Elephas maximus indicus: one gene and its partners. The protein of the gene in region 1 purifies or fractionates together with the protein of each later gene. This does not show direct contact. Links are inferred from orthologs where the notes say so. Each region holds a gene or a part of one and is shown in the gene's direction. Other genes may lie near its edges.

Region 1 (7,198 bases):
ACTATAGCTATGTCTGACAGCGCTCTCACATTTTTTCTCAATTAATACATACCTCAATGATGAAGAGACCAACAAGGGTGTAAGACAACTGTCTAAGAGGAATAGACTAGATTAGGAGAGAACAAGCCCTTCCTAAGTTCTTCTCAGATACTGGTATTAAAAGCATGAAACCAGCAACTAAAAATCAAAACCAAACCCACTGCCACAGAGATAATTCCAACTCATGGTGACCCCCACATGTTATAGAGTAGAAACTGCTCCATAGGATTTTCTTGGCTGTAGCCTTTATGGCAGCAGATTGCCAAGCCTTTCTTCTGTGGCACTGCTGGGTGGATCTGAACCACCAACCTTTAGGTTAATAGTTGAGTATAAACCATTTGCACTAGAAACTAGAATTCTACTAAAGTAGAATAAAAAAAGACAAGAGGCAAGAGATGGCAGTCCCCCTAAAGTAGGAAGGGATACTGACTGACAGAGGAATAAGCATGCCACTAAACTGGGAGGAGTACAGTGAAAAGCAAGTAAACTTGTGTGTTTGTGTGTATATTTTTCACTGGAAAAATGTCCATGAGATGTGAAATAGTGGCTGCCTCTGGGGAGAGGAACTGGAGGACTGAGGGAAAGGGATAGATGGGAGTCTTACTTTTCACAGTAAAGCTTTTATACTTTAAAAATTTTGTACCATGTGTATATACTACCTATTCAAACACTGACTAGAAAAACAAAGAAGAAAAAAGAAAAGCAAGCAGGATGTGGACAGCAAGAGCCAGCCAGGCAAAGGGTAAAAGGCAGGAAGACAGTGAAGATCCTAGGAGAATGGTGAAAAGACTGAGGCAGGCAGGCTAACTGCCTGGGTAGCCAAAAAGACAGACAGAAAGAGACAACTGAGAATGAAGGCAGGTGCTGAGAGAAGGCACGGTAGTGTACATGGCAAGAACACAGATAAAGAGTTTGGGGCCAGGGAGGAGAGACCATTACCATTGGTGGGGTGTTGGCATAGAGGGAACCAAGAGAGAAACAGCTGGTTAAGTGGAAAGTCTAAAAGACACAGGTATTAAACAGTGGGATACTAGCAGGCAAGTAGACAGACATAAAAGGGAGGTAAGGAAAAATCATGAACATAGCAAGTATAAATAAAAGAAGTGAATAGACAAAAAAGTAAGATAAGAGGCAAATGGAGATAGGGAACCATGGCAGGGCCTGGAAGGTAGATAAACCAAAAGAAGCAGGCTAAAAAAGTGATAGAGACAGGGAAGTGAGGAGACAGATGGCTAGAGAGAGTGTGGTGGGCAAACAGCCAGAGAAGCAGACAGACAACCAGAGAGAGAGAAAGAGGCTGCCAGCCAGTCAGGGAGGAGCAGACAGGCAGGCAGGCACCATGATAGGAGCAAGCAGGTAGAGAAGCAGATGGAAACCAGGATAGAAGAAGAAAAATCAAGAGGTCAATAGGAAGCAAGAACAGGAGAGAATACAGACTTGCAGAGCGGGGGAAGGACAGGGGAGAGAGAATCAGGCAAATTAACAGATCTGTATACAATGCCCACTCAAGGGACAGCAGGACTAATGTTTGTACAGAGATGCACACAGCCACCCAAAACCCATCTTTAGTCACCCACACCTGCAGATCATGGCACATGTGGCAAGCAGGCAGAGACACTCACCAAGGAGGGAGAGGGTCACAGAGCCAGAAAGGCTGCGATGCACATGATGCGCAGCGTGGCCCACACACACACGTGGAGACGTTCTTCCCAGACACAGTATGATCCACAGACTATCCATGAGGTAGGGCAGAAAGAGGAGAAAGCCAGGCACACGTGAGGAAGAGGCATACAAAGAGACCAGAAAACAGAAGGAAACAGAAGACAGAGATGGAAAGTCACTTAGAGGTGACAGAGCCTGAGAGTCCAAGGGATGAGAAACGGTCTTAGTGAAAAATAAAGACGTACATACAGAGAAGCCCATATACAGAAAGAGAGGGAAACCCAGATAGACTAGAACAGAGACTGAGAGAGAGGACAGAAGAACAAAATCTGGTAGAAGAATAGGAATTGGACTCAGTACAGGAATGATATGAAAGAAGCAAGAGAATTCCAAAGCTCATATTAAGAAAGGGATAGCAACTAATGCTCAATAAAGTGTGTTGGGGGTGGAACAAAGAATATTTTAGCCTCTTAAAAATTTGTGTATTATTCTCCATCACTAATACCTTCTGGTTGCTGCCTACCCGTCCCTCCCTCTTAGGTTGCTCCTGAGCACTGCAGAGGCTGAAGGGCTAGCAGCTCTACTTAACAGGTAGAAAAATAATCCAGAGAGAAATGATTCCACAGGCTTGGGGTGGAAGCAAGGAGCTAAGTGAAATCAAAAGGATGGGAGAAAACAAGAGTAAGAAAAAAGTGACAAGAATGAATAAGGGAAGAACTGAGCTATTTACCCTCCTTCTTTGCTAGCACTGCTTGTTGGTAGAAAAGGTACAAGTGTTCCACCTCCAACTGGCAAGTCTTGTTTTTTGTGTAGACCTTTCTGGTCAAGTCCCTGGAGGAGGACGCTACTTTTGGATTCCTTTCCAACCTTCCATCTGATTACTGGAACCATTTTATGATAAACACTGGAGTACAGGTGGAAATCATATGTTAGAAAGTCAGATGAAAACACCTGAATGTGACCCCCTACCTCTTTCTCTCAGTCCCAGTTACTTTTCTCTTTCACAGCACCTCAGTTTCATCCACTTTGTCAGTGTTGGAGATCGTGGAGGAAGGAAATGTACTGAAATGGGAGAAAAGAGAAAATAATTTCACAATCGTCAGACTTGACTCTTTCCCCTTTATTCTAAAAATCTGTTCTATTTACCCCAAATTAATTTCCTAAGTCAGATGAATTTTATATTCAATTAATGGCAGGGAGGGGGGAAAGGGGAAAAGAGTGAAGATAAAATTTACAGCAATTATAAATCACCGAAAAGGCTGGGCGAAAGGGAGAATCAAACATGGACTCCTTTGAAAAAAAACTCAATCATCATATCTATTCATATCTCTCTCCCAAAAGTCACTAGAATTTCTATCACTTTTTTTAAAGAAAGAAAAAAATTCAGTACCACTTCTCGCTTAAAAGATACGTACACGATTAAATGCATTCTGACTTCAATGAGGTATGCAGAAACAGATTTATATATAAACATATATTTCATCTTTTCCTTTTCAATGCCTGAAGGGGAAAAAAACCCTTCACATCAAACCACTCCCTTCTGAAGTATTCAGAAAAAAAAAAAAAAAAGCTTTTCTTTAGAGAAGGGAGGTGGGGAGGAAGAGACTAGTAAAGAAAAGAAAAAAAAATTAAATCTGGTTGGACTAGTATTTAACTAGTTAACCTTTAACAATTTATGCTGATGTCAGACTGAGCATGACTACTGATTAATGCCCCCCCTCAAATATTTTTTATAAGGGGTGAGTTAGTCACAGCAGCCATTTTTGTTTTATGCAGAAATCCTTCATGCCCCCCCAAAACACACACACACACACACATACACACAGTTCAGTACACAAGGAAAATATCTCTATTAATCTGTGCACTAATCAGTTATGAAAAAAGGGAGAAATTTCTGGGTTTCTGGGTAAAAGCTTGGAGATGGGGGTGTAACAGGGAGGAGAATGGGGGGGTGAAAAATGAAATATTAAGCCAGCCATTTTGTTTTAAAAGGGGATTTTTCCCCCTCTCCCTTTCTTCATGGAGGGGGTGGCGGTCCTGGAGGGGGGGTTGTTTTAAAAATAATTTCAAGGCGGCCATCTTAGTGCCTCAGCTCTGAGAAATATTTCTGAGCGCCCCCCTCAGAATTTAAATATATTTAAGGCAACGGAGAGGGGGGTAGAGAGAAGTCGAAAACTTTTATATATATATATATATATATAATTTTTTTTAATCCCCCTTTCTTGTTCTCTTGGGAGGAGAGAGGCAAAAAAGTCTCTCCTCTCCTGAAAATTTTCCAAGAAAATTTTTGGGGTGGTTTGGCCCCCCTCCTCAGACGGCGGCCCCGAGGGTGGGGGTTTTAGAGGGGGGTGGCCCGGGGGTTTTGGGGGCTGGGGGAGGCGGTGAGGAGGAGGACGCCGCCGCCGAGGAGGAGGAGGAGGAGGAGGAGGAGGAGGAGGTGGTGGTGGTGGTAGCGGTGGGGGAGGCGGGCGGGCGGTGGGTGGGGGGGTGGTGGGGGGGCCAGAGCCACAGGATGGCTTCCCCTCTGAGGGACGAAGAGGAGGAGGAGGAGGAGATGGTGGTGTCGGAGGAGGAAGAAGAGGAAGAAGAAGAGGGCGACGAGGAGGAGGAGGAGGTGGAGGCGGCCGACGAGGACGATGAGGAGTACGACGACGAGAGAGTACTCGGGCGCGGGCCGGACCACGACCGGGGCCGCGACCGCCACAACCCCCCCGGCTGCCACCTCTTCCCGCCGCCGCCGCCACCGCCGCCGCTGCCCCCGCCGCCGCCGCCCCCGCCTCCAGGTAAGCGGCCGCTTCGACCTCCCCCAGCCCCCAGCGGGAGCCGCGGGCGCGAGAGGCCGAGCGGGGGCGAGACACCCACCGCGCGGCCGAGGCGAGGTGAATCCGGGGCGCGGGGCGCCGTCTCGGGCCGATCGCCCCGCGGCGGTCCGACCGGGCGATCCGGGCGGCGGCGGGGCCAGGCCTCCTCCCCTCCCCCGCCGCACCCCTCCCCCGTCGCCGCCGCCGCCGCTGCCGCCGTCGCCCGGGCTGGAGAGCGCTGGGAGCGAGCTGCGCGCGCGGACCGGGCCACTTGGTCGCGGCTTTCGGGGGAGGAGGAGGAGGAGATTTTTTTTTTACCCTCGGCGGGGAGGGGGTAGGCAGGAAACGGCCGAGGCGAAGCCAGGGCCCCCTCCCTGGCCGAGCGAGGGACCGCGGAGACCCTGGCGGCCGGACGGCGGCGTGGGGGGGAGGGGCGCGTGGGGGAGGGGCGGCCGCGCGGGCGCCCCTCGGGCTTCGGCCCCGGTGGGGCTGGACTGAGGGAAAACTGGGTTTTCGCGAGTGGTGTTCTTAAGTCTCCCTCCCCTGAGGAGTTGGGAAGGCAGGGGGGATAATGGCGCCCATTGGACCCCCCCCCGAGTTGCGGAGACTTTTGTGTCCGCTTAGGGGCGTGCAGTGGCACGTGGGGAGGGGTCGTGGGCTATTCGTGGGCGGCTGAGGACTAGGGGCAGGTGGTGGCCACACTCCAAGCAGAACACTTCCCGGAATCAGACTTGATCCTTCCCCCCCTCCCCGCAACTTGTACTGGGGGGGCGGCGCCACTGAAGACTGGGGAGCGAGAACAGAGTGCAGGGGGAAACCGAAGTCCTCCCCCCAACTCCTCCCCCTTTGTCACTCCCCTGCCCTGGGCTCTTTTGTGTCAAGTGCGCCCCCCCATGACCCAGTCAGTCTGGGGTGGCCGAGCTGCCCAGCTGTGACTCTCACGTGGCTGCCGTTCCCTGTCACTCACTCTTCAGCTCAAACCGCCCGCACCCAGACCACGTTGGGGGGCGTGAACTGCCCACTCAGCTGTTCTGCAGCTTGACCATCACTCAGAACCTCTCCCTCGGGCTGACGAGTCACCCGGCACTTCTGGGTTGCTCCACCAGCCGTGGAGGGGACACACCGCTGCCTCGCTTCGGGCGCCCCGCCGGTGGGCCCACAAAGACCATCTTCTAGTTGGTTTATTTCTAGTCTTTTTATAGGATAGGTGAGCGAGGGCAGTGCTCACACTGCCTGCTTGGGAATTGAAAGGGGGGACATCCACACCCCCAGACCTCTGGGTGCCATGCAGCACAAATGCACCCAACTTCAAATTTTCTAACATCATTCTCTTCGTAAAACTGCCGTATTGATCTTTGTGCCATATGTGGCAAACTTTTCTGTCTTGCTGAGGCAACCTTTGAAGGAGGGAGTGTGGGGAGCTTTCTAAATTTGGGGGGGGGGTTGTGTCTAAGGGGAAAGAAAATAGTCTTTTTTTTTTTTTTTGCCTAGGCTTGTCTGAAAAAAGGAAAAGTTTTTTTTTTTTTAATGTTATTCTAGAGCCCCCACTGATTTTGCATGAGGGAAAGGAATAAAGAATTGGGGTAGGGGTTGCTTGGAAAACAGCAGAGGTGCTAAATAAAGGGAAAGAAAGGATGACAGGTTTAGTTAAGAAATTGGCAACTCTCACCTACTTGTATTCTGAATTTGGGTTGTGGTATTTGGGAGGTTTTGAACTCGGATATGGGTACGTGAGAGAGAGGAGCAGGAAGAATCTTAGGTTGAGGTGGGTCTTTGTGTCGATATTCCCTCCCCCTCTCCCTCTTTGCTTTCTGAATAGATATGTCAAATGCTTTTAAATTTTTATTTGAAATGAAAACCCGCCTCCCCTCTCTCCCAGGGCAATTTTATCTCCCTTTCAGCCCTCCAAGTCAAATGAGTGACCCAGATACACCCCCTCAGATGACTTTCTGAGGTAAAACTTTGAGAAAATATTTTTAGTCTGCTAATTATTTCTGTTTAAGTGTGGGGAAAATAATCCTCCTCTCAGGAAATTTGTTCAAGTTGTCCTCCCTCACCCTTTTCTAGAATATGAATTTTAGATATTAGAGGCTTGTATTGTTTTTCATTCTGACCGCTTTGGTTCTCACCATTTTGTTTTACATTCTTACCCAAGACCGATTTTATCCCTTCCCCCTCTTCTCCAGTCTCCTTACATTGTTAAACGTTTAAAATAATAGCACTCGTGTTGATGGGGGAAGGGAGCAGGAAGCCAAAAACTCGTTTCTTCTCCCTCCCCCTTCTGGTAAGTCTGGAGAAATAATATAACATAATATATAGATGTGATTCCTCGGAGGTGGGGGTGGGGAATGATTGTGGGTGGTGCGGAAAATTCTGGTAGTTTCTTTGCAAAAGGCCTGAAAATACAAACCCACCCCCTGCATGCAATACGCATGTGCAACAGACCTATTATGGTGGTTCGTTGTGGGGGAGGGAGGGGAATTTGAGAAAAAATAAATATATGTGTGAGAGATTGATGGTAGATTAGAAGAAGAGGGGGCGGGCGGGAGGCGAGGCTTTCCCAGAGACTCCGCCTCCTTTCTCTGACTGCCAGGCTCCGCCCCCCGCTCCTCGCCCGCCCCCCTCCCGCCCCGTCTTCCCCAGATCCGAGCCGGAGATGTGGGAGAGTCTGGGCTCCAGGCCAGCATTGAGTGGCT
Region 2 (6,938 bases), on another chromosome or scaffold:
CCTAGCTGCTGCCGAGGCTGGACTCCAGACCCCAGCACTGTGACCAGGACAAGGCAGAGCCAGCCACATGGCCTCTCTGGACTCTGGGGATGCCTCAGGGGACAGGCTGAGCCAGGAGCACTACCCCACCTGCCTTGGCTGGGCACTCAGAACTGTGGGGGCCTCCTGCAGGGACCTGGGTCAAGAGACCAGGCCCTGGTGCTGCTGGCAGTGTGCAGACAGCACTGGGAGCCACAGGGGCCCCCAAGGAGGCTATTTATATTCCCCTCACCCAATGATGACCATCCCCCTTCCTGCTGAGCCCCATCCTGGGGTGTCCCCACCCTCTCCCAAGGTGAGGTCTGTCTCTCCGCCCCCCACAGTCCTGGGCCCTTACCCAAGATGGATAGACTGTGGCTGCCGCCTCTGTGGACCCCCACACCCAGGTCCCGGCCAGCCCCATCCACACCTAGATGGGTTGGCACTGTGTCAGTCACTCTCACATACCCCCTAAGAAGCCCCTCGCCGCCCCCCCCAACCCGCCCCAGCACATGCAGAAACCAAGGCCACAGGTCCAGGGAGTGCTCCAGACCACTGGAAAGTGGCAAACAGAGACCCAGGTTGCCATGACGCCACACCCAGCTACTAGGGGCCAAGGCCAAATGCCCCCACTCCCTATATTCATAGAGGCTTCTTTGGGCACCATCAGGGTAGGCATTCCCCAGCCCTTCCCAGGGAAACCTGGATTCCCACAGAAGTCATCCGCTGCCCCAGGACCTGGCCTGGGCCTGGTGGTTTGGGGCTGGTGCTGCCTGGCAGAGGGACAGCCAGGGGCAGGGGGCTTTGGCAGCCCCACCACCTACTCCCCTGCCCTCTCCCATGCCCCTCGGGGACTCTGAAAATCTCAGGGATGATGAGGCTGAGTCCCTAAGCCCCCTCCCGTGTGCCCTGAGCTGGCCTTGGGATCAGAGGCTGGTCATCCAGGCCCAGAGGGCCTCCATCCTGCCGTGTCTCTGCCATGGGGAGCCGTTTTTCCTGTCCCCAGGGCCCTCGTGTCTCCATCCCCTTCTCCCTCCTCTGTCATGCCCCCCATGTGCTCCTGTCTCATCTCCCTTGTTCTGTGCTCACTTTTTTTTTATATCCTGACAAAAAATCAGAAATAAACCTGAGTCTCAAGTGGCCATGAGTCTACCATCTGGGAAGGGACCTGCCCGGCCACCTCCAGCCGCGGCCACCAGGGGGCAGCGGTACCACATCGGTCAACGGGGCGGCATCCACGGAGGCTGAAAGACAGCTCCAGGCCGGCCTGCACCCCAACGTGGAACACCGCGAAGTGGCAGGGTTCTGAGGATGCGGTGGCCCAGATGGGGGCATAGGCTCCCTGGGTTACCATGCAAATAACCACGCGCTGGCACCTGAAATAACAGCAGTTTATTTCTCTCACAGCTCTGAAGGCAGAATCTGAGGGAGAAGCCTCCTGGCCTTTCCAGGCTCGCCACGGCTCTGGCAGTCCTGGTAGACACGTCACCCCTCTCTGCCTCAGGTGGCCTTCTCCTTTGTGTCCCCTCTGTCTTATAGGGACACTTAGTGCTGTATTTAGGGCCCACCCGGATAATCCAGGATGATTTCCTCAAGAGCCATCACTTAATCATAGCTGCAAAAAGACCCTTTTTCCAAATAAGGTCGCCTTCACAGGTCCCAGGGGTTTGATGTAGGTATCTTTTGGGGGGCGTTTTCCACCCTTCTACACAGGGCAACACCCTGACAGAAGAAGCACATGGGTCATACAACATCCCCCAACACAGCAGCCAGACATCTCACAAACAGCAACACTGAGGTGTAGGCCCGCACATCTCAGTCTGGGCACACAGATACTGACACAGAGACACCATGGCACAAGGAGCCAGGCCCACACGGCACACCCAACACACAGGCACACAATGCACTGACATACACGGGAATGTAACCGTACCCCACAAACACAGACATAGCCACCCAAACACGCAACTATTAACACACAGACACACAATGACATTCAGAAACACAGAGTGCAGCACACTCGGGATACAAACACAAATTCCACAACCCTGACATCTAGACACACACAGATAAACAGTCCGTCCCCCTACACACAGTGCCCAGGCACAGTATTAACACACAGACAGAAACTAGCCCTTGACATCCAACACACCACAGCCTGGACACACATAGTTACACATGCACATATGGTCACACACATATCCCCTGACATCCAGACACAAACACCACAGCCTGGACACAGATGTGCTGGGAATCCAACCTATTGCATACACAGACACACACACACACACTTTGGCCTCCAGACAGCTGGATACTAACAGACATTGTTCTCCTCTAGTACAGGACACACAGACACCCCAATATGGATACTGCTGGATACAGACCATGACACTGATACACAGTGACAGGTGGTGGACACACACCCACTACAGACACAGATGCCAACACATGTCACCTACAGGGACACACAATGAAAGCTGACAACCTGCACGCTCCTCAGGAGCCACACAGTGACCCAACTTTCGAACATAGGACTGTCCCTGAGGTCTGCACAGGTCATGTACACTGGCTTCTCCTCCTGGCCCTATATTTCCAATCACAAACACTGGTCTCTCCCCCGGCCCCAGATTTCCAAGGGAAGGCAGGAAGAGCTGACCCTGCCCCCCACCCCCCCCCCACCTCCAGCTCTGCTTTCCTCCAGCCTGCTCAGGCTTGAGGGCTGTGTGGCCTGAGAGAAGTGTGTCTGAAGGGCCCGTTTGAGAAGAGGCTGGCCCCACTTTTGCCAGGGCTTCTCTGCCTGCCCCCACAAGTCAGCACCTGCTCCAGGTGGGTGGGGAGGGGGGCAGGGCTGCAGAGAAGGAGGTGCACCTCGTCTTCTGTTTCCCAACCAGCGACTACCAGCTCGCAACAACTTGAGGGGTCCAAAATACTTGCAGAATGTAAAAAGGGACATTAAAAAAAAATTAAACTCAGTTTTAATTGTAAAAGTAATAGATGCCCAGAGATTTAAAAGAAAAAAAAAAAAAGGCTCGAACAGTATTAAGGGGCACAAAATGAAAACCCAAAGTCTCACTGTCTTCCCTCTCGGCCACAGGTACCCTACCTCCAGGTGGGCTCTGTGAGCAGGTAAGGATAGTGCTCCAGGGGAAGGTGCACCTTATCCCTCCCCACTTCCTGTGGAGCCCCCAGGGTGGCCCTCCTCCTCCCCAGCCAGCTCCGATGGGGCCCTGAGGTTCATCCCCAGACCCCACACCAGCATTCCCTGCAGAGGTCTCTGGTCTGGGGAACAGTTGAGCAAGGGACTGACCGCTTGCCTGGGACCATCCCCAAGGTAGGCAAGACGCTGGTCCAAAGGTAATGATGCCCAGTAAAGCCCCATGGCCTTAAGCAGGCAGGGACACTGCCAGGCCACCTTTGATGGTGGCCAGAGTCATGGAAGTGGCAGAACACAGGCCTGATTCTGTCCTGCTGGCCCTTCTGCCAAGGCCCCTGAGGGTCAGGTCAGGGTCCTGTGCACTGTGACCGCCACTGCCCCACCCTCTCCGAGCCCAGGAGGCGAGAGGCTGCTCACCTCAATCCGTAGGCACTGGGGTTGGGGCAGTACCCAGCGCCCCTGTCGTACCTCAGTTTACCCCACTGCCCCCAAAACGCCTCCCGCCCTATAGGTAGCATGACTAGCTGACCACTTTGCACCCAAGGCGGGGCTTGAGGATCCGCGACAGTCCCCGAGCAAGGCAGAGCCAGCCGGCGCGCGGGAGCTCCCCGCCCCCCGCAACCCCCGGGCCCGGCTCGCCCCCTCCCCGTCGCGGAGCGACTGCAGGAATACCGCGAGAGTTCGCCCCCTTCCCCCCCCAACAGTAAAACTGTCAAAGGTGGGAGGGGCGGGAGCGCGCATGTGCGCAGCGCGGCGCGCAGCCTGCGCCGCCCGAGCCACGGTCCCGCGCCTGCTCTCCGCGCCCCGGCCCCGGCCCGCGCCCTGCCGGGCCGCCGCAGGTAACCGTCCTGGCCTGTTTCCCCACCCTGCTCCGGCAGCAGCCCCAGCCGGCTGCGCCCCGACCCCGACCTCGCGCGGCCCAGGCGGGGCCGACCCAAGCCCCAGCCGCCGGCCCCCGTTGCTGCCCGGACCCCGCGCCGGCCCCGCGCCCCGCGCACCGCGCCGTGCGCCGCGCTCCTGCTCCTCCTTCTCCAGAAAAAGTCGCCATTTTGGTTCACTGCCTTCGGGCCCCCCTTCCCCCGCCCCAGCTACCCGCGATTGTCCCTTCCGGGGCCAGGCCAGGGCCCGCGCCCCTCGCCCCGCGCCCCGCGGCCGCCCAGGGCTGCAGGTGACAGGTGGGTGGGTGGCGAGGCCTAGCTGCCAGGTGCGCGTCTCTGGCAGGCCTTATCCGCGCGCCTGGGCTGGGGTCTGCCTCGCGCCGATGTTCTGCTGCCGGCTTGCTGTGGCCCGTGCCAACAGGGCTCCCCCCGGTGGGTCCCGCAGCCCTGACCCTACTAGGCGTGGTGGGAGGGTGGAAACGCCTACTCGTCCTGGTGCGGGAGTCATAAGCCGGGGCGGAAGGAGGGGTGTCGGCCTCCCAGGCCAATCCTGGCCCCAGCCCCCTGGACTCCAGGCCTGGTCAGGCTAGGGAAAGATTGAAAAGCAGGGGCCTGGTCTGCACGCACACCATGGCCATCGGGTCATCGCTGCCTGGGTGACTGTAGGAAGTTGAAGCATGAGAACTCCCAGAGAAGTTTGTTTGGGTGTCCTCGACCTCTTCCTCCATCCAGGCCCAGGATATGGGTGTCCCCCTTAGAATGGACCGGGGCTGCCCAGGCTGGTCCTCTGGCCTCAGCCTGCCCGAATCACCCCCTTCTGTCGCTTTGGGTCTTCCTGTTGGAGGACTCGACAGGGCTGGGCTCAGAGTCCCATGTCCACCCTCATTTCTTGAGGCGTGGGGTCCCCCAACCTGGTTGGAATAGGCCCAGGGAGGCCCGGCCACGGGCAGCAGGGGCCCCCTCTGGCACAAAACCGGTGGGCTCCAGATGCTGGGCTTAGCTGCCTGTGCTCACTGGCTGGTGGAGCTGAAGCTGTGCTGGTGGACCCAAGGCAGGGGACCAGGGATTCCTCAGGTGGAGGTGAAGGGGGCGAGGTGCCAGCACCGGCCTCTGCCTGGTTGGCGGGACCTACTGGAATGTGAGCGAGGGGCCTGTGGATCCTTGGTCTGCCTTCCGGGAGGGATTGGGGGCCCTCAGCGCCCAGCTTGGCAGTCTTCCAACTGTGTCCTGGGCAGATGGATTCGAGGTGCCCACTGGGTAGGTTGGGACTATCTGGGTCCGGGTGGGGCAGGGTTTGGCCGTGGGCTGCAAGGTGGTGCCCCCAGGTGAGCCAGCAGCCCGCCACTGGTGTCTTATATGGCCCCCGGGAGGAGTGTCGTCTGACTCCTTGGTCCTGGGTGTGGGCTGCATGCTTCCCAGCATACATCTGGGAACAGAGGGAGCCCGCGGCCAGCACGGGGCTAGGGGGCAGCAGACTAGGCCTTTCAGGCTTATCGTTTCTCCAGGATTGTCCAGAGACCTTAGCGGGGCAGCCCTTCCCCAGAGTTGGAAGCCCCTGTCAACCCCCCTCCCCACTGCTCCCAGAGATCAGCCCTGTCTGAGGGCAAGGACAGAGGGCAGGCTGCGGCCCCTCCTGTGTCCTGAGTCAGGACAGTGCTAAATGGTCCAGGAGAGCCTGCAGGATGTGGTGGGTCTTGGGTCCCTGGGCCTCACTGGTCTGAACCCTTGCTCTGCAGCTATGACCGACCCCTTCTGTGTGGGTGGAGGCCGCCGGCTCCCAGGGTCCAGCAAGAGTGGATCTGGGAAGGATCCAGGCCGAACTGAGGTTCTGCCTCCAGTGCTGCATGACCCACCCAAGCTCGGTAAGAGGCACCATGAGCAAGGCAGGGGCCTTCCTGGCGTGGGGGTATGTCTTAGAGAGGGAGGGGCCTGGGTGTGGATGGACACCTATGGGCCTGCCCAGCCCCTGCAGCCCCTGAGCCTGGTGTGTTGTGTGCCACAGGAATGCCAGTGGTCCGAAGTGGGCAGACTGTGCCCAGCCAGGCCCCACTGTGCTTCGACCCAGGAAGTCCAGCCAGCGACAGAACAGAAGGGAAAAAGAAGGGGCGGCCGAAAGCCGAGAACCAGGCTCTCAGAGACATTCCCGTGAGCTCCTCAGGGCCGGGGTGGGGCTCACAAGGGTCTGCCGTCCAGGCTGCTGCCTGCCTCTCGGCCGCATTAGTTGGCGGCCCAGTGCTGGCCAGACAGGCCTTCACTATGTGGTCTCAAGCCCCTGCCTTTGATGTGGCTGCCGGGAGGACACATTGGACCAGGTGTGGGCACCTAGGACAGGTCCAGCACAGGGCTGCTGCTCGGGGGGGTGGCTACTTCTTGCCATCATCCCAAGGTCGAGGGCATGGTGTTTGGGGCTTGGGTTGGGTGGAAGTTGCCACTGAGGGGGTCAGCAGCCTGGCCTTGCCTACCCCCCAGCTCTCCCTGATGAACCAGTGGAAGGATGAATTCAAGGCCCACTCGAGGGTGAAGTGTCCAAACTCGGGGTGCTGGCTGGAGTTCCCCAGCATCTATGGCCTCAAGTACCATTACCAGCGGTGCCAAGGGGTAAGGGACGTCTGGTTGGGGACAAGGAGGCCTGGGCCTACCTGCCTGCGCTGTCAGCATTGTCTCCTGCATACTGGGTGGTGTCTGGGCGGCCCTTCTAGGCAGACCCTGCTCATATCTGCCCTTCCCACTCAGGGTGCCATCTCAGAAAGGCTGACTTTCCCCTGCCCCTTCTGCGAGGCTGCATTCACCTCCAAGACCCAGCTGGAGAAGCACCGGATTTGGAACCACATGGACCGACCCCTGCCTGCTCCCAAGCCTGGGCCAGTCAGCCGGCCGGTCACCATCAG
Region 3 (7,018 bases), on another chromosome or scaffold:
TCAAATAATTCTAGAAGATATGCTAGGAAGCCCAAAAGACCTCTTGTCTTCTTATGCCTCTGGATTTCATAGCTCCTACATATTCTTTAACAGCAAGGAAGGAGAAGAGGGCCCTCTTGGGAGCCTCATTAATATGTACATAAATATGATTTGGTTAGCGTCTCTGTTTCGGTTTCCTCGCAAGTTAGAACAAGTCCGTCCTGATCAGATTGATGAATTGTATTTATTCTCATCTTCAGTCGATAGTGTTTACAGATCCCAAAAAACAAAAATTAGCTGACATGATTTGTCTTTGGGTTTGCTCCAGACTTGTGAATACAAAGAGTCACCTTTTCTTGGCATGGATTTTTTTTTTTTTTTTTAAAGCACCAGAAAATAATGAAGCTCAAAGTAATTCGGGAAGATGCGCTGTTGAGCTTTTGTATTGGTACAAAGTTATCTGGCTGCATGTTGGGGGATGGATGCGTGTTTAAAAAAACAAAAATAAATGTCGACCTTATTTCTGCAGAAGCGCTGGAAGCCCGTTTCTACTGACACTGCTCTGTCATGATTCTTTCCAAATTTCTGTGAAGATGTGGTATGTACTGTAACAGCTCCAAAGGCAAAGACAACACTGTGGATTCTCTAACAGAGTCCAACCTCAGCTAAGGGGCAAGTATTGAGAATTGCTAAAAGAATTTTAATCAAAAAGTCTGGCTTTGGGTCACATGTCTGCTTAAAACTCCCCCCACTGCTTGGCGTGTTACACGTAGCACGTAAGGAAGTAGAACCCCACTCTAGGTTAGGAAAAATGAGCTCTGACTTGGTGAAATGATTTCTGATTTCTGAACTACTCCTTCGTACAGAAATTTAATGCGGCTGAGAATATGGCAGGCTATCTGCTGGAATGCACTGTGAAGCTAGAAAAAGACAAAAGTAGGGAAATATTTGTGAGTTCAAAAAAGTTTTTGACATCTGCCTTTTTTTCTTTTTTTAAGGTACCGCAGAGAATGTGTGTCCTTCCTCCCCCTCTCTGGTTCCTGTGTGCACGAAGCCCCCAGCTGTGCCCAGCACACAGTAGGCCTGCAGCAGGCACTTGGGAAATGAGTGCGAAGGATTGTTATTAGTTCAGGGCCACACTGGTGACTGCACTTTTTCTTCTTAGGTTTTCATATGTAAGATATGGACCCCCAAATGTGCACCCCCTTTTTGGGGTGGGGGTGACCTATCTTCTAAACGAAGGCTTGGTCTATCGAGGGGTGGGCTGGGATGCAGTGGCCTGCTCAGCGAGTACCGGATTCCCCCGCCTGCCTGAGTCCCTAAGGAAGGGGGGACCGGGCCGCGGGCCGAGCTCAGCCACCCCCCTCGCACCCCGCCCGCCCGCTGTCTCGGCATCAAGAGTGGGGAAACATTAGTGTGGCCCAGCTGCTGAAGCCGGGCGGAGTCGAGGGAGAGGTCAAGGTCGGCCGGGAGGCGGCTATTGATCCGGCTTGGAACGCGAGACAGGGAGCGCAGCAAGACTAAAGGGGGAGCTGTGAGACCAGACATTAACAGCTTTCTGCGCTAATGATGCCCGTGCCAGACGGGCAGAGGGAAAAGGAGGAGACTGGAGCGGCAGCTGGGATCGCTCGCTGCCTGCGCCCGGCAGCCTCGGGGAGAGGAGGCGGAGAAGGACGGCGAAGGGGCCAGCGCCGGCCCGGCCCGGCCGGGCCGCCTCTCACGGTCGCCGCGAGGTGGAGCGCGCCGGCGTGTCCGGCCCTGCGCCCGCCCGCCCGCTCGCGCGTCTTCTTCCCGCCGTCGGGGCAGCGCGGGGCCAATGAGGAAGTGTTCACTGCCCACCCCGGCCCGCGCCGCCCCCTGCCCGCCACTTCCTGCCGGGGGTGGGGCGAGGTGCCCCCTCCCCAGACCCCGCCGCCCTGGAGTCGCGCAGCTGCAGCTGGGGCACCTGAGCGCGCCTGCGGAGGGGCCGCCTTTCCTGAGGGGGAACCTCACTCTCCTTCACCGCAGAGGGGGTCCCGTTCCCTGTAATCCACCCGGGAGGGCGAGGGAGCGGGTGTCGGGATTTCGGCGCGGACAGTAGGCGGCGCAGGGCAGCAGGCACCTCCAGGGGATGTGAGTCCAACCCGGACCCCCACGCGCTGTGTGACCTTGGGCAAGACGCTAACCCTCTCTGGGCTGCACACTGCCGCGTCTCAGAAAGAGCGGGCTAATTGGTGTTCCAAACTTAAGAGTCTGGGCGAGTCGCGAAGGACGTTTTATGGTTTTCTTAAGAACTTTATTAAAGGTGCGTGTGGGCACTTTTTTCTTAGTTAGGCCACCTTCCTGGAACGATTTTTGCGGTGGGGCGGGATGGGAGGGCAGCGAGGCTCTTTTGGACTTTGGACCACGTGGAGGCTGGGGGGCAGCCGCCTGCAGCCCGGGAGGGGAGGTGCGATCCCGGAGCCCCTCACCCTGCATCTCCACCCCCTCAGGCTCTCGCGACGACCCCGCTGCCCACTGTCTGCAGAGATGCACGTGGGGGCACAGTTTTATTGCTGTTATTTGGGGGGGGGATGGGATGGGCAGGGAGCTCTCCCTGTTTTCGCTCTCGAGCACTGCGCTCTCGCTGCCGGCGCCCCACCCAAGACCTTTGGGGCGAACAAAAACTCCAGGTGCCCCTGGAGGGCGGGCCCCAAGGGAGGCGGTGCGCTCAGAGGCGGCGCGGCCGGGGGCGGGGTGGGGCGGGTGTCGTTGGCTCGCCCGCGAAGCCCAGCCCCGAGCCAGGCCCCGACCCGCCCTGGCCGCCTCTGGGCTGAGGCCAAGGGAGAGGGTCGAGCCGCGTGGCGCGCCCAGCTCGAAAAGGCCGCGGCCTGGGGAAGGGCAGGGCGGGTGTCCATCGGGACCGCGGCCTGGCCTTGTCCCCAGGCTACAGACAGGCCCCCACAGATCAAACGGCTGACGAGGCAGCTGCGTCCTTCCCAGTCTGGCGGACGATTTCATGTCCTGCCCTGAGCCGAGGATCGCGGGCTGGGGCGGAGGTGCCCCTTCCTTGTTGCACTAATTATCAAGGTTTGGGAGGGAGCCGGGGGACTCGGGGGGGTCACGCACCCCGGGAGCTGCAGCGATCCGGCCACACCTACCTCTGGGTCAGCACACTACAAGTTCGCCTCCCACTTGGCGCACCCCTGGCCTCACCCCCTCGCTCCCACAGATCTTGGCGTTGGGAGGGGGCGTGCTTGACCCGGGGACTAAGTGGAGGGAGGGCACAGACTAAGGTGAACGCTTCTTCCTGCCTGGAACCTGACGAGGTCTCGCGGCCCCCCAAACCCCCGCGTGCTCTTAATTCGTTCTTAGTAACTTTAGTATTGTCCACCTCTCTCCCAGTCTGTAATGAGGGTTTAAATGGAGACCCTTTATGGAACTTTAACCCTACCCCCAATAAAACAAAAAGTAAAAGCAATTCAACTACTTCTCCAGGGAGATGAAGCAATTGGCCATCTCCCCCAGTCTCCACGTGCACCCCAACCCTCTTCCACAATGCCCCTCCAAGCCAAAATAAGCTTTTAGGGGGCAGGGACTTGCATTGATCCAATTTACTCCTCGCACGCAGCACCCCGCCCCCCTTCCCTGGGGGTCCTGTTCCCAGGAGGAGAGGAGGGATATAGAGAAGGATTTGCTTCTAAAAAAAATATCCTGCCCACCGCCGGGGTGGGGGTGCTTTGCGCCTCTCGCGCACCGGGAAAAGAGGAAGGCACAAAAACGCGGTTTGCACGTGGGGTCGGCCTGGGCTGCGGGTGTGCGCACGGACGAGTGTCTGTGTGTGTGTGTGTGCGCGCGCGCGCGCGAGTGTCTTTCTGTGTGTGTGTGTGTGTGTGTGAGCTTTCTTGTTCTCTTGCAGGGTACAATGTTAAAAAGCCACCGCTAGTCGCCCCCAGTGCTCCGACTCTCTGGGTCTTTTTGTCTCTAGTGCAGATTAAACGTCACGTCCGCACTTGAACTTGAATTTTATCCCATTGTACAGAGGCAGCCCCAGCCATAGAGAGACCGAGAGCTCCCAGAGAACCCGGACTCCGCCATCTTCACGTTGCAATCTATAGCTCCCAGTCCGCGCCCGCACCGACCCAGGCGCACTGGGCGAGCCGCCCCTCCGCCCCGCTCCCCCCGGGCCCGCGGCGCCAGGGGAGCGCTGGGGAGCGCTCGCGGGGACCCGGCAGCTCCTGCGGCCGGCGCCAGCCTGCCAGGTGAACTGGGAAGGAGCCGCTCCTGGAGTCCCCCCAGAGCCTCCGAAGGGTCAGTCTCCGAGAAAAAAAAAAACAAAAAACAAAAAGCAGGCAGCCAGCAGAACACCCAGAAACCACCGAATCGGGGCAGTTTTACATTGCTTTGGGTTTTTTGAGGGGGCGGGGTGAAGGGGTACGAGACAAGTCCCCAAGTTTTCTCTGCTTTTTTTTTTCTTTTTCTTCTTTTATTATTTTTTATTTGTTTGCATTTTTTTTCTTTTTTTTTCCCCCTCCTGGTAGAAGTGCGTTCTCCACCTACCAGACCCTGAAGGAAAGTGTACGGAGCCGGTGCAAAATCCGGTTTAAGTTCAAGACGACATTTGGAAGTCCAAGAGGCCAAGCAGTCTGAAGAAGTCTAAGAGATTTTTTTCTTTCAAAAGAATATATTTTTAAAAGAAACCAGCCAGTCCGCGGCAAGCAACAGCAGTTTTTTTTTTTTTTTTGGCCTCTTTCTCCCATTTTAGATCGAGAGCCTTTTTTTCTTTTTGTTTTTCTTCTTTTTCTTTTTGCAAACAAAACAAAAAAAGCCTAGAAGAAAGAGCAAAATAAAGAAGAAGAGGAGGAGGAGGAAGAGAGGGCAAGAGAGGAAGGGGAAAAGAAAGAAAGAAAGAAAGAAAGAAAAAAACAACAACACACCAACCGGGCCGAGGAGGCGCGGCGGCGACGGTAGCGGCGCGGCGCGGCGGCGGCGGCTGAACCCCCTCCCCGGCTCCCCATCCGAGCAGCTCTCCGGGCTGATGCCAGAATAGATGCCGGGGCAATGTCCCGCCGCAAACAGGGCAACCCGCAGCACTTGTCCCAGAGGGAGCTCATCACCCGTAAGTGTCTGCGGCGTGCGCGCGAGGGGCCGGAGGTTGGGCTCCCGGCGCCCGAGGCTGGGGACTGCGGGCCGGGCCGGGCAGCGCCGGGGCTGCGCGCCGGCTCGCAGAGCAGTGGCGTCCGCCGGAGCACGGCGGGGAGCAGGGGACCATGCAAAGTTTCTTTGCAGCCCGGGAGTCGGGGCGCTGAGCAGCCGGACTCGCCGCGGGCTCGGGGGCCCTGGGAACGGGCGCCGGGCCGGGGAGGGGGCGCGCAGACTGGAGGAGGTCTGTGTGCGCGCCGGGCCCGCTGGACTCTCGCCCCTGCGAGCGGCGTGTGTGGCGGCGGCGGCGCTGGTGGCGGGGTTTGGAGAGGAGGGGGAGGGGGCTGGGGGAGCGGAGGGGGAGGGGGAGTCGGGGAGTCGGGAAGTGGGGAAAAGTTGGAGAGCGCGTGGGTCCGCGCTGATGGCGCGGGCGGCGGAGAGCGGGGAGCGCGCGGGACTGGGGGGACCGCGGGCCGGCCGGCGGTGAGGGCCCCGGTCGCTGCGCCCTGCCAGGCAGGGCGCCGGCCACGCCGGTCCGCGGATTCCGCAGCCGCCTTTCTCCTTCGCTCTCGGCGCTATTTGCAAACGAATCCAGCTGCGCGGCTGTTTGCCGGGCTCCAGCACCCCCCACCCCACCCCCACCCCACCCCACCCCCCGCATTTCCCCACCTCCGACTGTCTCCTGGGATGATCTTGTCTTCTTTCCCCCACTCCCAAAAAGGTGGGGGGATTGGGGCTGGTGAAAAATCCCCGCCACGGGGGGGGGAAAAAAAAGGTTGTCAGCTAGGAGTGGGAAGAGAAGGATGCGCTGGTAAAATAGTAAAAAAAAAAAAAAAAAAGCGAGCGAGAGCCCTATCAATCTCGTATCCATCTTTCCATCGCAGTATCTTTCATCTCCCTATCCAAATAAACAAGCAGGATGCCGTGGAAACCCACCGGCGGGAATCGCGCGGTTTTCCAGCAAGTGGCGGGGCGGGCAAAGTCAGGCAGCGGGGCAGAGACACAGCCGCTTCCAGAGCCCGGGTTGGGTGTAATTCAACCAGGAAACCAGCGAGCTCGAGCGGGCCAGGTGCCCTGTTTGCAAGGAGCCCAGGCCCCGCACAGCAGCGCGGGGAAGCTAGGCGCGCGGCGCTCCCCTCCGCGGCAGCCCGCGGCGCCGCTGCACGGCTGTGCGCGAGCCTTTCCCTGTTGTCCTGCTGTCGCGGTGCCTGCCTGGGTCGCCGTTGCTTATATATATATATATATATATATGTTTCTTTTATTGCAATAGAAATAAAACATCCTCTGGGTGCCATCGAGGTTGTGTGCTTGCAAGTCCTCCGCGCGCCTCGCTGGGCTGGGGCCGGGCTGCCCGCGCGGAGCTGGAGAGGGCTGCGCGCCCAGCCGCCGCCGAGGACTGGCTGCGAGCCGGCCGAGAGCCGAATATTTATGTTATATTTTAAAAAATTTAAATAAATAAATAAATATATAAAGGGGTTCTCCCCTCCCCTGAAAACCCGGCACAGGAGCCATCTGCTCGGAGCATTTGCTGTGGCCATATCTCTCCTTTGTTACAGCAGAGACGTTAGTAAGAATTTGTGGATTTATTTATTTTGGGGGGGGGGTAGATATTAAAGTGGGCTTTGGCTTGGGAGGAGAGGACTGCCTTTTTGGAGGAGGGAAGAGGAGTTGGCTTTTATTATTATTTTGTGCCATGGTAGACTCGGCTGGTAATATTTGAAACAAAATATTTTGCAACCAGATTGGGGATTTGATCAAGGTCTTTTTCTTCAGTCGATATTTCGTTCCTTTACCAAACTGGCCATGGCTTGGCCATGGCTTATCCTATGCCCCCCCCTTTTTTTTAGATGGTGGGGTGGTTGTTAAAACGTCTGTACTTGCAGACGCCTAATTTCTCCAGGAGGCAATTTGCCCCACTAGCCTCCGTATAATTGCAAGG
Region 4 (7,552 bases), on another chromosome or scaffold:
CTCCCTCCCTTCCCTCCTTTCTCCCTTCCTTTCTTCCTCCCTCCCTTCCCTCCTTTCTCCCTCCCTCTCCTCCCTCCTTCCCTCCCTCCCTCCCTTCCCTCCTTCCCTTCTTCCTTCCCTCCTTCTTTCCCTCCCTCCTTTTTTTCCCACTGGTCCATCCAGAATGCAGCCTGCCAGCCAGCCAAAGGCCCAGAGCGCCTCTGGAGAAGGACGCTGGACCAACTGTTCCCTCAGGAAGCCCCCTGGGGGAAGTCTGTGCCTTTGCAGAAGGTGTAGACACTGCCCTCCAGGGGCCTCCCCAGGTCCCAGGCTCGGGTCACTCGGGGAGCAAAGGAGGAGGAAACGTCACGGGGGTGGGGCGCTGAGGGCGGCTGGGGGGAGAGCCACCCGCTTGCTCACAGCCGCTCCTCCTTTTTTATTATTTTCCCTTTGTCTTAACAAGTCCCTTAGCAAGTCCACCCCCAGGCACCCCAAATGCATCTACCAAGTGTAGAATCCAGATCTGAGCTTTATTTTTATAAAGATGAACGTACATTCTCTATTTTCCTGATCTGCCGATTAAGGGGGAAAAAAGATGAAATAAAAAGTAAGTTGGGATCGATTGTATTTTAATCATTCATTCATTTATTTATCTTTAAATCCATAAAGGTGTTTCCCCCTAAAGGCAGACAGTGAATATTTTATTTTAATCTTGTCATTTCCAGCGCGAGACAGACCTCTTAACCCTTGGTTCCCCAGCTTAGCCCGAGTGCCCAGCGCCAGGCGATCCTCCGCACCAGCGCTGGGACTGCGTTAAGCCTTCCTCATGGAGCTGTTTGTTGACCACATTCACGTTCAGAGCCCTGGAGCTAAAAGCACTTTACACCATAAAATAAAAGCACTGTCTTTTTTTTCTAAAAGGTTACGTCTGGAGGCCACGCGGCTCATACTTCATACCGAAAACTCCTGAAAGGACCATGAAACCCTCCTTGATTTACACTCTTGCACTGCATTAGAGAGCCGATCTGCTCGGCTCTAAAAAATACGGCGGGGTTTCTAACCGACGTGAATATATGTGCATTATTTCAGAAAGTCTGTTAGAAAACTTGTCAACACATTATAAAGCATAAACCAGGACTGGGCTATTAAGTGCGGAGATCAGAGGCAGGAAGTCCTGGGGAGTCTGCTCCGCCGGCGAGATAAAAAGGGGGAGGAGGGGAGGGCTTGTCTGCCGGCCTGGACTTTACGCAGCGTCGTCATCGAAGGTTGGGAAACAGCCCAAAGCGCGTCGTTACCTCCTCAGCGGACTCAGCAGAGGTTCTACAGCCCCGAACGGAGTTAACTGACCACCAGAAAATAATTTCAACGTTGTGGTAATTTATTACTTTTAAAAGCCACTTCTGGAAAGGTAAAATATACTTACTGTGTATCCAAAGTGCGCGCTTTTAACGTGACCTTTCACCCCCTCTACGAAACCACCTGCATCATTAATCAATACTTATGTAATATTTTTAAACCTCTTAAAACAACGCATGTTTTTTTCCTTTAAACACACCCACAATCTCCCCTCCCCCACTTTTGGGCGCTTTAGTGAGCTTCGAGCTGCGACGAGGAAAAGGGGCGTCGCCCGGAGGGGAGACGACTGGGGAGGGGGTTCCAGGAGCGATCAGATGCCTTCCCTCAGCCCTAGTTTTCTGGACTAGGTGAAATCTGGCTGGGGGAGGGGGTGGCAGCGGAGGGCAGAGTTTCCATTTCATCCTGGACATTTTATCATGGTGAAATCAAATGTATGTTGACGGTGGAAACCTCGCTGCCTACCTCTCCGTTGGTACCCAGGGAAAGCAGCTACAAAACTGGCTTTTTAATGCTATGTTTTAAGATGTGATTTCGGAAAGGACCCCCTGGAATCTGGAACAAGTTCAGTAACATAGCAGACCTACTTGTAACTAAGTGCTTAATCTCCTATGATTTTTTTAAAAGAGAAAATCAATAAAATGTTGCCAGTTATTTATAGGAAATAACCACAGATAGCGGCCCTGATGGGGTGCCGGTTTTAGAGAGCACCCAATTGTGTAATGAATTGTAATTCAGAAGACTGTTAAATGTGAACCACAGAACCTTTCAGAGGTAATAAACTCATTACTTTTTACACTACAGCCAACCCTGAAAAGCTTTATAAACACCATTCTATATAAATCATACATATATATTTCCCCAACACGCATTTGCCCATTTACGTACCTTCTCTACATATGGACTTTTATGGATGGATAGGAGCAATATTCAAATCTGAAATGCTCGATTCGGAAGGACTCTGGCTCACCATTGTTACCTGAAGGGGCTTTTACTTATTTTTCCAAGGCTTCCCAGTTACACTTTCTCCTTTCTTCACTTTCTAATATTCCTCCTCGCCGCCCTTCCCCGTCCCCCGCCCTACAGAGACATTCATTTGGTCATAAGGTTGGTTTAACAGACAAAAAACACCCGGTGGTGGGAGAAAGATGCTGAACTGCTCTGAAGAACTCACGGAAAAGAGGAAATGGTGTCACGCACACGCTACAGAGCCTTACTGCAAATGAGTCTTGCTTAAACAGGATTTGCGCTCCCCCCCGCTTTCTTAAACTGGAGGGAAACAGCAACAAACCGCATTTACACAAACCCACCTCAGCTCACACCCCTCATAACGTGGGGCATCCAAATCTCCTTTTTCTTCCTTGCGGAGACCTGAAGCGTCTTCAAGCTGGACAAGCGTCCTTTTCTAATAGGTTTGAAACTTTACTAAGATGACATAGGAATAAACAGCCGCTTGCCGGCGAGCCTGGGAGATGGGGGCGCGCTTGCCAGTCCAGGGCCCTTGCTTCAAACAACCCAACCCCCCCGCTGAGTGGGCGAATTTAAGGAGACGACACCCCTTAGAAGGAGGAGGGGGAAGAGAAGACCCGAGGGGTCGCGGGGCTGCTTGCGGGAGAGGGAAGGAAGGTTCCTTGCTTTGCAGCCACTCACACATGTCCACCTGCAGCTCGGAGTCTCGCGGGCAGCGGCGCCCGGCGTCCCCCTGCACTCTCCGCGCCAACCTTGGACTCGAGTCCATCCACACACCCCCACTCCCCAGCGTTTCCCGATTTGGAATCGGAGCGCCGTATCCGCGGCGGTGGCGGCGGCTGCAGGGTAGCGCAGGCAGGCGGGGAGGCTGGGAGGCGGGAGACGCCGGGGGACTTTGCAGGCACGTTTCGGAATAAACTTTCCAATCGCAGGGGGTGCTGTTGCTGTACATTTTACGTAAAACTGAAAGTATCCCATGCCAGAATGAAGCCCGCTTTTTGACAGCGGCAGCGTGTGTGAGTGTGTGTGTGTGCATGTGTGTGCGCGCGCGTATTAAAGAGACAGGGGCTTATTTCCAACAGGTCTTCCCTAATTTCCAGGGAATGTCTACAGAAAGACTAGAGGCGGCTGCGGGCTCCGAGGTGTGCGCCTTGGCCTGCGGCGCGCGAGAGCGCGGAGCTCGCCCAGAGCCGCTGGTCCCTCCGAGGCGGTCGCCCCTCCACTGTGGCCTCCCGGCTGCTCCCGCGAGCCCGCCGCTGTATCTCCATCCCCCATTTCCCTTTCCCCGGGTAACAGCACGGGAATAGTTGTGCTCTGCCCGTAAGCAGTACTTTCTTTCCATCCCTCTGTGCCTTTGCGGTGGGTCTGGAGCGGGAGGGGGTGTGTACCTCCTCGGGACCCGGCTCCGGGGCCTCTCGCGGCGCGGGGAGCGCGCTCCCAGCCCTCCCGGGACTGCCCGCGCTTTGTCCTCCTGCTCACGGCCGCCAGGAGAGGTGGACGCCTCCCCGGCCCCGGCCCTCGGTACTCCCGTCTTGGGGCTGGAATGCGCTCGGACTCTGGTTCCTCGTTCTTTATTCCGCGGCCCCTCTCTCACTCCGGGGTTCTGGGGAGCCTCGACTCCGCGCTTCCAGTTCATTCAAACCCAGTCGGTAGTCCAGGCGCTCAAATCCCCGGCCCCCGGCTCGGCCTCGGGGCGCCCTCCCGGCGCTCCTGCCCCGGCCTGCGCCGCTCGCCGCCTCCCTCGCCCTGGCCCCCTCCATCGAGACCGTCCGGGTTCGGGGAGGCCCCGACACTGCCCTTCCGGCCCGCGAGCCTCCAAACTTGGGCTGGACTCCGCTCCGCGCGCGCTCCCTCCCGCCTCCCCTCGCCCGCTGCGGCGCTGTAACTTGGAGGCTCAGCTCTAACTTCGGGTGATTTTCTTGGCTTTCCTCTCCTCGGGCAAAGTTTCCCGAGCGCAGCCGCGGGCTCCGGGCTTCCACTCCTGGCCCGGGTGTCCGCACACGGGGAGTGAGCGCGCCGGCTGCGGCGGCGGGGAGGGGAAGTGGGTGTGCGCACGGCGGAGGGGGGCCGGGAGCAACTCTACCTGCTTCCCTCCGCCCGCGCTTCTCCGGCCGCAGCCTGCAGCCCTCCGAGCACTCTTGCCTTTTTTTTTTTTTTTTTTTTAAATAATCTCTCATTTTAGGGTCCCAGTGGGGGGGGGGGAGCAGGACGCCCGCCTTGCTCCCCCCCCCGCCCCTGCCGCCCCTTTCTTCTCTCCCGGCCACGCCGCGGCTGCTGCGCTCGCTGCGGCCACTGGTGAGCCCGCGGCCCCGGCGCCCCCTCCCCTCCCCTCCGCCCGCCCCTCCCTCGGGGGCCGCGTCTGGCGTCTGCCGAGCCCCCCGCCCGCGCCTCCCCCGCCCCGCACTGGCCATTGGCTTGTCCTGGTCTCTTTTTCATGTCCAGCCCCTGATGTGTGTCCATTGGTGTGCGCTTCCCCTTCCCTCCTCCCCTTCTCTCCTGCTCGCCCTGCCCATGTTTTGTGTGTCTCTGTCCATCCAGACTCCTGACGTTCAAGTTCGCAGGGACGTCACGTCCGCACTTGAACTTGCAGCTCAGGGGGGCTTTTGCCATTTTTTTTCATCTCTCTCTCTCCCTCTATCTCTCCTCTCTCTCTCTCCTTTTTTTTTTTTTTTTTTGCTTAAAAAAAAAAAAAAAAAGCCATGACGGCTCTCCCACAATTCATCTTCCCTGCGCCATCTTTGTATTATTTCTAATTTATTTTGGATGTCAAAAGGCACTGATGAAGATATTTTCTCTGGAGTCTCCTTCTTTCTAACCCGGCTCTCCCGATGTGAACCGAGCCGTCGTCCGCCCGCCGCCGCCGCCCGCCCCGCAGCCCAACATGTCTCGCCGCAAGCAAGGCAAACCCCAGCACTTAAGCAAACGGGAATTCTCGCGTAAGTAACCCAATAATAGTAATAATAATTATTAATAATCACGAGAGCGCGCAGGACGAGCCGCAAGAGCGAGGGGGGAGAGGGGTGTGTGCGTGCATTTTTTATTTTCACGAGGAAACCTCCGAGAGTCGGAGTAAAAGAGATTAAAGGAAAAGGAAAAAAAAAAAAAAAAGAAAGAAAGAAACCTCGTCCCGTCTCGCACCTTAGCCGCGTGTGCACTTTTGGGATAGCATTCACCTTTTAATTTTATTTAATTAAAAAAGAAAGTCACCCCTCCTCTTACCTCCTTTCCGCTGCTTTATTTCTCTTGTCGAAAAGGAATGCGGTGGTTTTACCCCCCAGTTTTGCAAAATAATGAACAATGCTAAGGATGCGAACAACTCACGCGCCAGCCTGGGGGAGGGAGTCGGCGGGGAAAGGAGGGTGGCTTCCACTCCCCGCAGGAAAACGGGGTGTGGGGGGGGTCCCAGCCTACAAACCAATGCCGGGGGAGAAGAGGCGAGCCGGCCCTCGGACGCCGGCGCGCTCGCGGGCCGGCGTGACCCGGGAGGAAAGTAGGCTTCCCCGCCAGCGTCAGCCAGGGCATGCGGGAGGGGGCCGCGGCGCCGGGGAGAGCTGGGGAGCCGGGGAGAACGCCAGCCGCGGCCGGCGCTGCCGCCTTTTGTTCCGGCCCGAGGTGGGTGTTTGTCCCGCTGCCTTTTGTGCCAGCTCCTCGCGCTGGCCCTCCCGCGCCGCCGCTGTGGCCGAAGGGCCGGGGCCCGGGCCGGGGGCGCGCGGGAGAGGGAGGGAGGGCCCCGGGGTGGCCGCCCGGCTCGCCGCTGCCTTCCCCTCCCGGCCGAGCCTCCGAGGCGGCGAGGGGTAGACATGCAAAAGATAAAGACAGTTAAATTGAACGAGGCAAGAGAACGTAAAATTTCTTGCCCCAAAAAGCAGAAGCCAAGCGCTCCGCCAGCCCTCGACTGCAATGCTCTCCACTTTGACTTCCCCACCCCCCCCGCAAAAATCTCACCATCTCCAACCGAGAAAAAAAAATTACAATCACCCCCTTCCCCAAACCCCTTCACTCGCAGACTTAGAGCGCCGGCGGCACTGAGACGGAGCGAGGAACTCCCTCCTCTTACTATTTTTTGGAAGATTTTCAAAAAAAGTGGAAGTGGATTTTGATTGGGAAAAATCTCGTGTCTGAATGTTTACAAGCACCGCGTGTGCGGGAGCCTCCTGCCAACAAACAGACAGAGGACCGAGCGCAGCGCCGCGGCCTCAGAGCGGGCGGCGGCGGCGGCGGCCGGGCCTGGCCGGGGCCTCGCTGGGCCTCGGCGCGCCCCGGCCCCTCCCGGGATCGCCCACCCGGCGCCCGGCGCCCGCCCTCCGGGCACGGCGGCAGGCCACGCTGAGACTGCGCCAGCAGGGCCCCAGGTCCCCGCCCGCCCCCAGCACAATGCCCAGACCTCCTCCCGGCTTCCCCGACTGCGAAACCCGCTGGGGAGAAACTCGGCTTTGCAAAGCATTTTTATTCTGCAAAGCAACTGAAAAAGCTTGTTTCTGCGTGCGCCCCCTGCCCTCGGCTGTACCCCCAGAGGTCTCTTGTCCACCGCTCTCGGCCGCGGGGAGGGGGTGGAGGTCACCACGTGCATTCGCTTCCTCCCCCGACTCCCACCCCGGGTCTGGCCACCAGGTCCCTGTGCCGGAGCGGGGCCAGGCCCGGGCTGGGGCGGGGTGAGGTGGGGGAGGACTACGGAGAACTCTGGTCGGGTATGCCTTTGCGGGGCTCTATTCCGGGACCTCGCGTCCTTCACCTTTGGGTTCTTGCCCACTTCCTGGGCCTGACTTTGTCTGGGGTCCTTGTGAGTCTTTATAAGGCGGGGGGAGGGGGGGTCCCAGCTAACTGAATGCTCCTGTGAGGTAGTGGGTACTTAGGAAAGTTTGGCAGCGAGGGAAAGAAAGGCACGAGAAGGCCAGTTCTCTCCTCTCCATGACTCCCATTTTAATTTTTGATACAATTTTTAAAGGTCCACTTATACCCAGTCATGTATTTTTTGATGGGGTGGGGGCGCGCACAGGGAATTGCATTTTTCACTGGGCCCTGAAACTTGTCATACACTTCGGAAGCTCCCCCGCTCTCCTCCCCCCTCCCCAGCCCAAGCACGTTGCGGGGCCCTCCCTCTCCCCACCCCCGCGCATCCCTCCCTCGCCTCTCTCCCCCGCCCCCTACTCCCCCGGCCGCGCCGGATGCGGAGCAGACGCGGCGCGCGGCGGTGTGAAGTTACAGCCCGGCCAGGTACGGGCGGGAAGGAAGGGCAGAGTGCGCAGGACTT

The links.
Region 2: the proteins of CHD3 (region 1) and ZNF512B purify together in Homo sapiens (affinity purification with mass spectrometry; 3 studies listed by BioGRID and IntAct, with this or other methods). This does not show direct contact. The link is inferred for Elephas maximus indicus from reciprocal best matches to the Homo sapiens genes CHD3 and ZNF512B.
Region 3: the proteins of CHD3 (region 1) and BCL11B purify together in Homo sapiens (affinity purification with mass spectrometry; 3 studies listed by BioGRID and IntAct, with this or other methods). This does not show direct contact. The link is inferred for Elephas maximus indicus from reciprocal best matches to the Homo sapiens genes CHD3 and BCL11B.
Region 4: the proteins of CHD3 (region 1) and BCL11A purify together in Homo sapiens (affinity purification with mass spectrometry; 3 studies listed by BioGRID). This does not show direct contact. The link is inferred for Elephas maximus indicus from reciprocal best matches to the Homo sapiens genes CHD3 and BCL11A.

What each region holds. Positions count from the first base shown.
Region 1 is NC_064837.1:12,893,086-12,900,283, reverse strand, and holds the start of CHD3 (chromodomain-helicase-DNA-binding protein 3), read left to right. Parts: upstream 1-4,198; 5' UTR 4,199-4,213; coding exon 4,214-4,484; intron 4,485-4,563; exon of another isoform or gene 4,564-4,689; intron 4,690-7,198.
Region 2 is NC_064843.1:4,145,398-4,152,335, forward strand, and holds the start of ZNF512B (zinc finger protein 512B), read left to right. Parts: upstream 1-3,933; 5' UTR 3,934-4,011; intron 4,012-5,786; 5' UTR 5,787-5,788; coding exon 5,789-5,912; intron 5,913-6,052; coding exon 6,053-6,195; intron 6,196-6,519; coding exon 6,520-6,648; intron 6,649-6,783; coding exon 6,784-6,938. Other genes in the region: SAMD10 (sterile alpha motif domain-containing protein 10), read left to right, coding at 1-43. UniProt on the Homo sapiens protein: Involved in transcriptional regulation by repressing gene expression. Associates with the nucleosome remodeling and histone deacetylase (NuRD) complex, which promotes transcriptional repression by histone deacetylation and nucleosome remodeling.
Region 3 is NC_064828.1:114,123,566-114,130,583, forward strand, and holds the start of BCL11B (B-cell lymphoma/leukemia 11B), read left to right. Parts: upstream 1-4,005; 5' UTR 4,006-4,075; coding exon of another isoform or gene 4,076-4,221; 5' UTR 4,222-4,878; coding exon of another isoform or gene 4,879-4,955; 5' UTR 4,956-4,998; coding exon 4,999-5,056; intron 5,057-7,018. Other genes in the region: basic salivary proline-rich protein 4-like, read right to left, coding at 1,543-1,850, 1,982-2,170, 2,298-3,015, 3,154-3,206, 4,076-4,221, 4,879-4,955. UniProt on the Homo sapiens protein: Key regulator of both differentiation and survival of T-lymphocytes during thymocyte development in mammals.
Region 4 is NC_064844.1:1,681,837-1,689,388, forward strand, and holds the start of BCL11A (B-cell lymphoma/leukemia 11A), read left to right. Parts: upstream 1-4,538; 5' UTR 4,539-4,596; intron 4,597-4,835; exon of another isoform or gene 4,836-5,074; 5' UTR 5,075-5,182; coding exon 5,183-5,237; intron 5,238-7,465; exon of another isoform or gene 7,466-7,466; coding exon of another isoform or gene 7,467-7,515; intron 7,516-7,552. UniProt on the Homo sapiens protein: Transcription factor. Associated with the BAF SWI/SNF chromatin remodeling complex. Binds to the 5'-TGACCA-3' sequence motif in regulatory regions of target genes, including a distal promoter of the HBG1 hemoglobin subunit gamma-1 gene.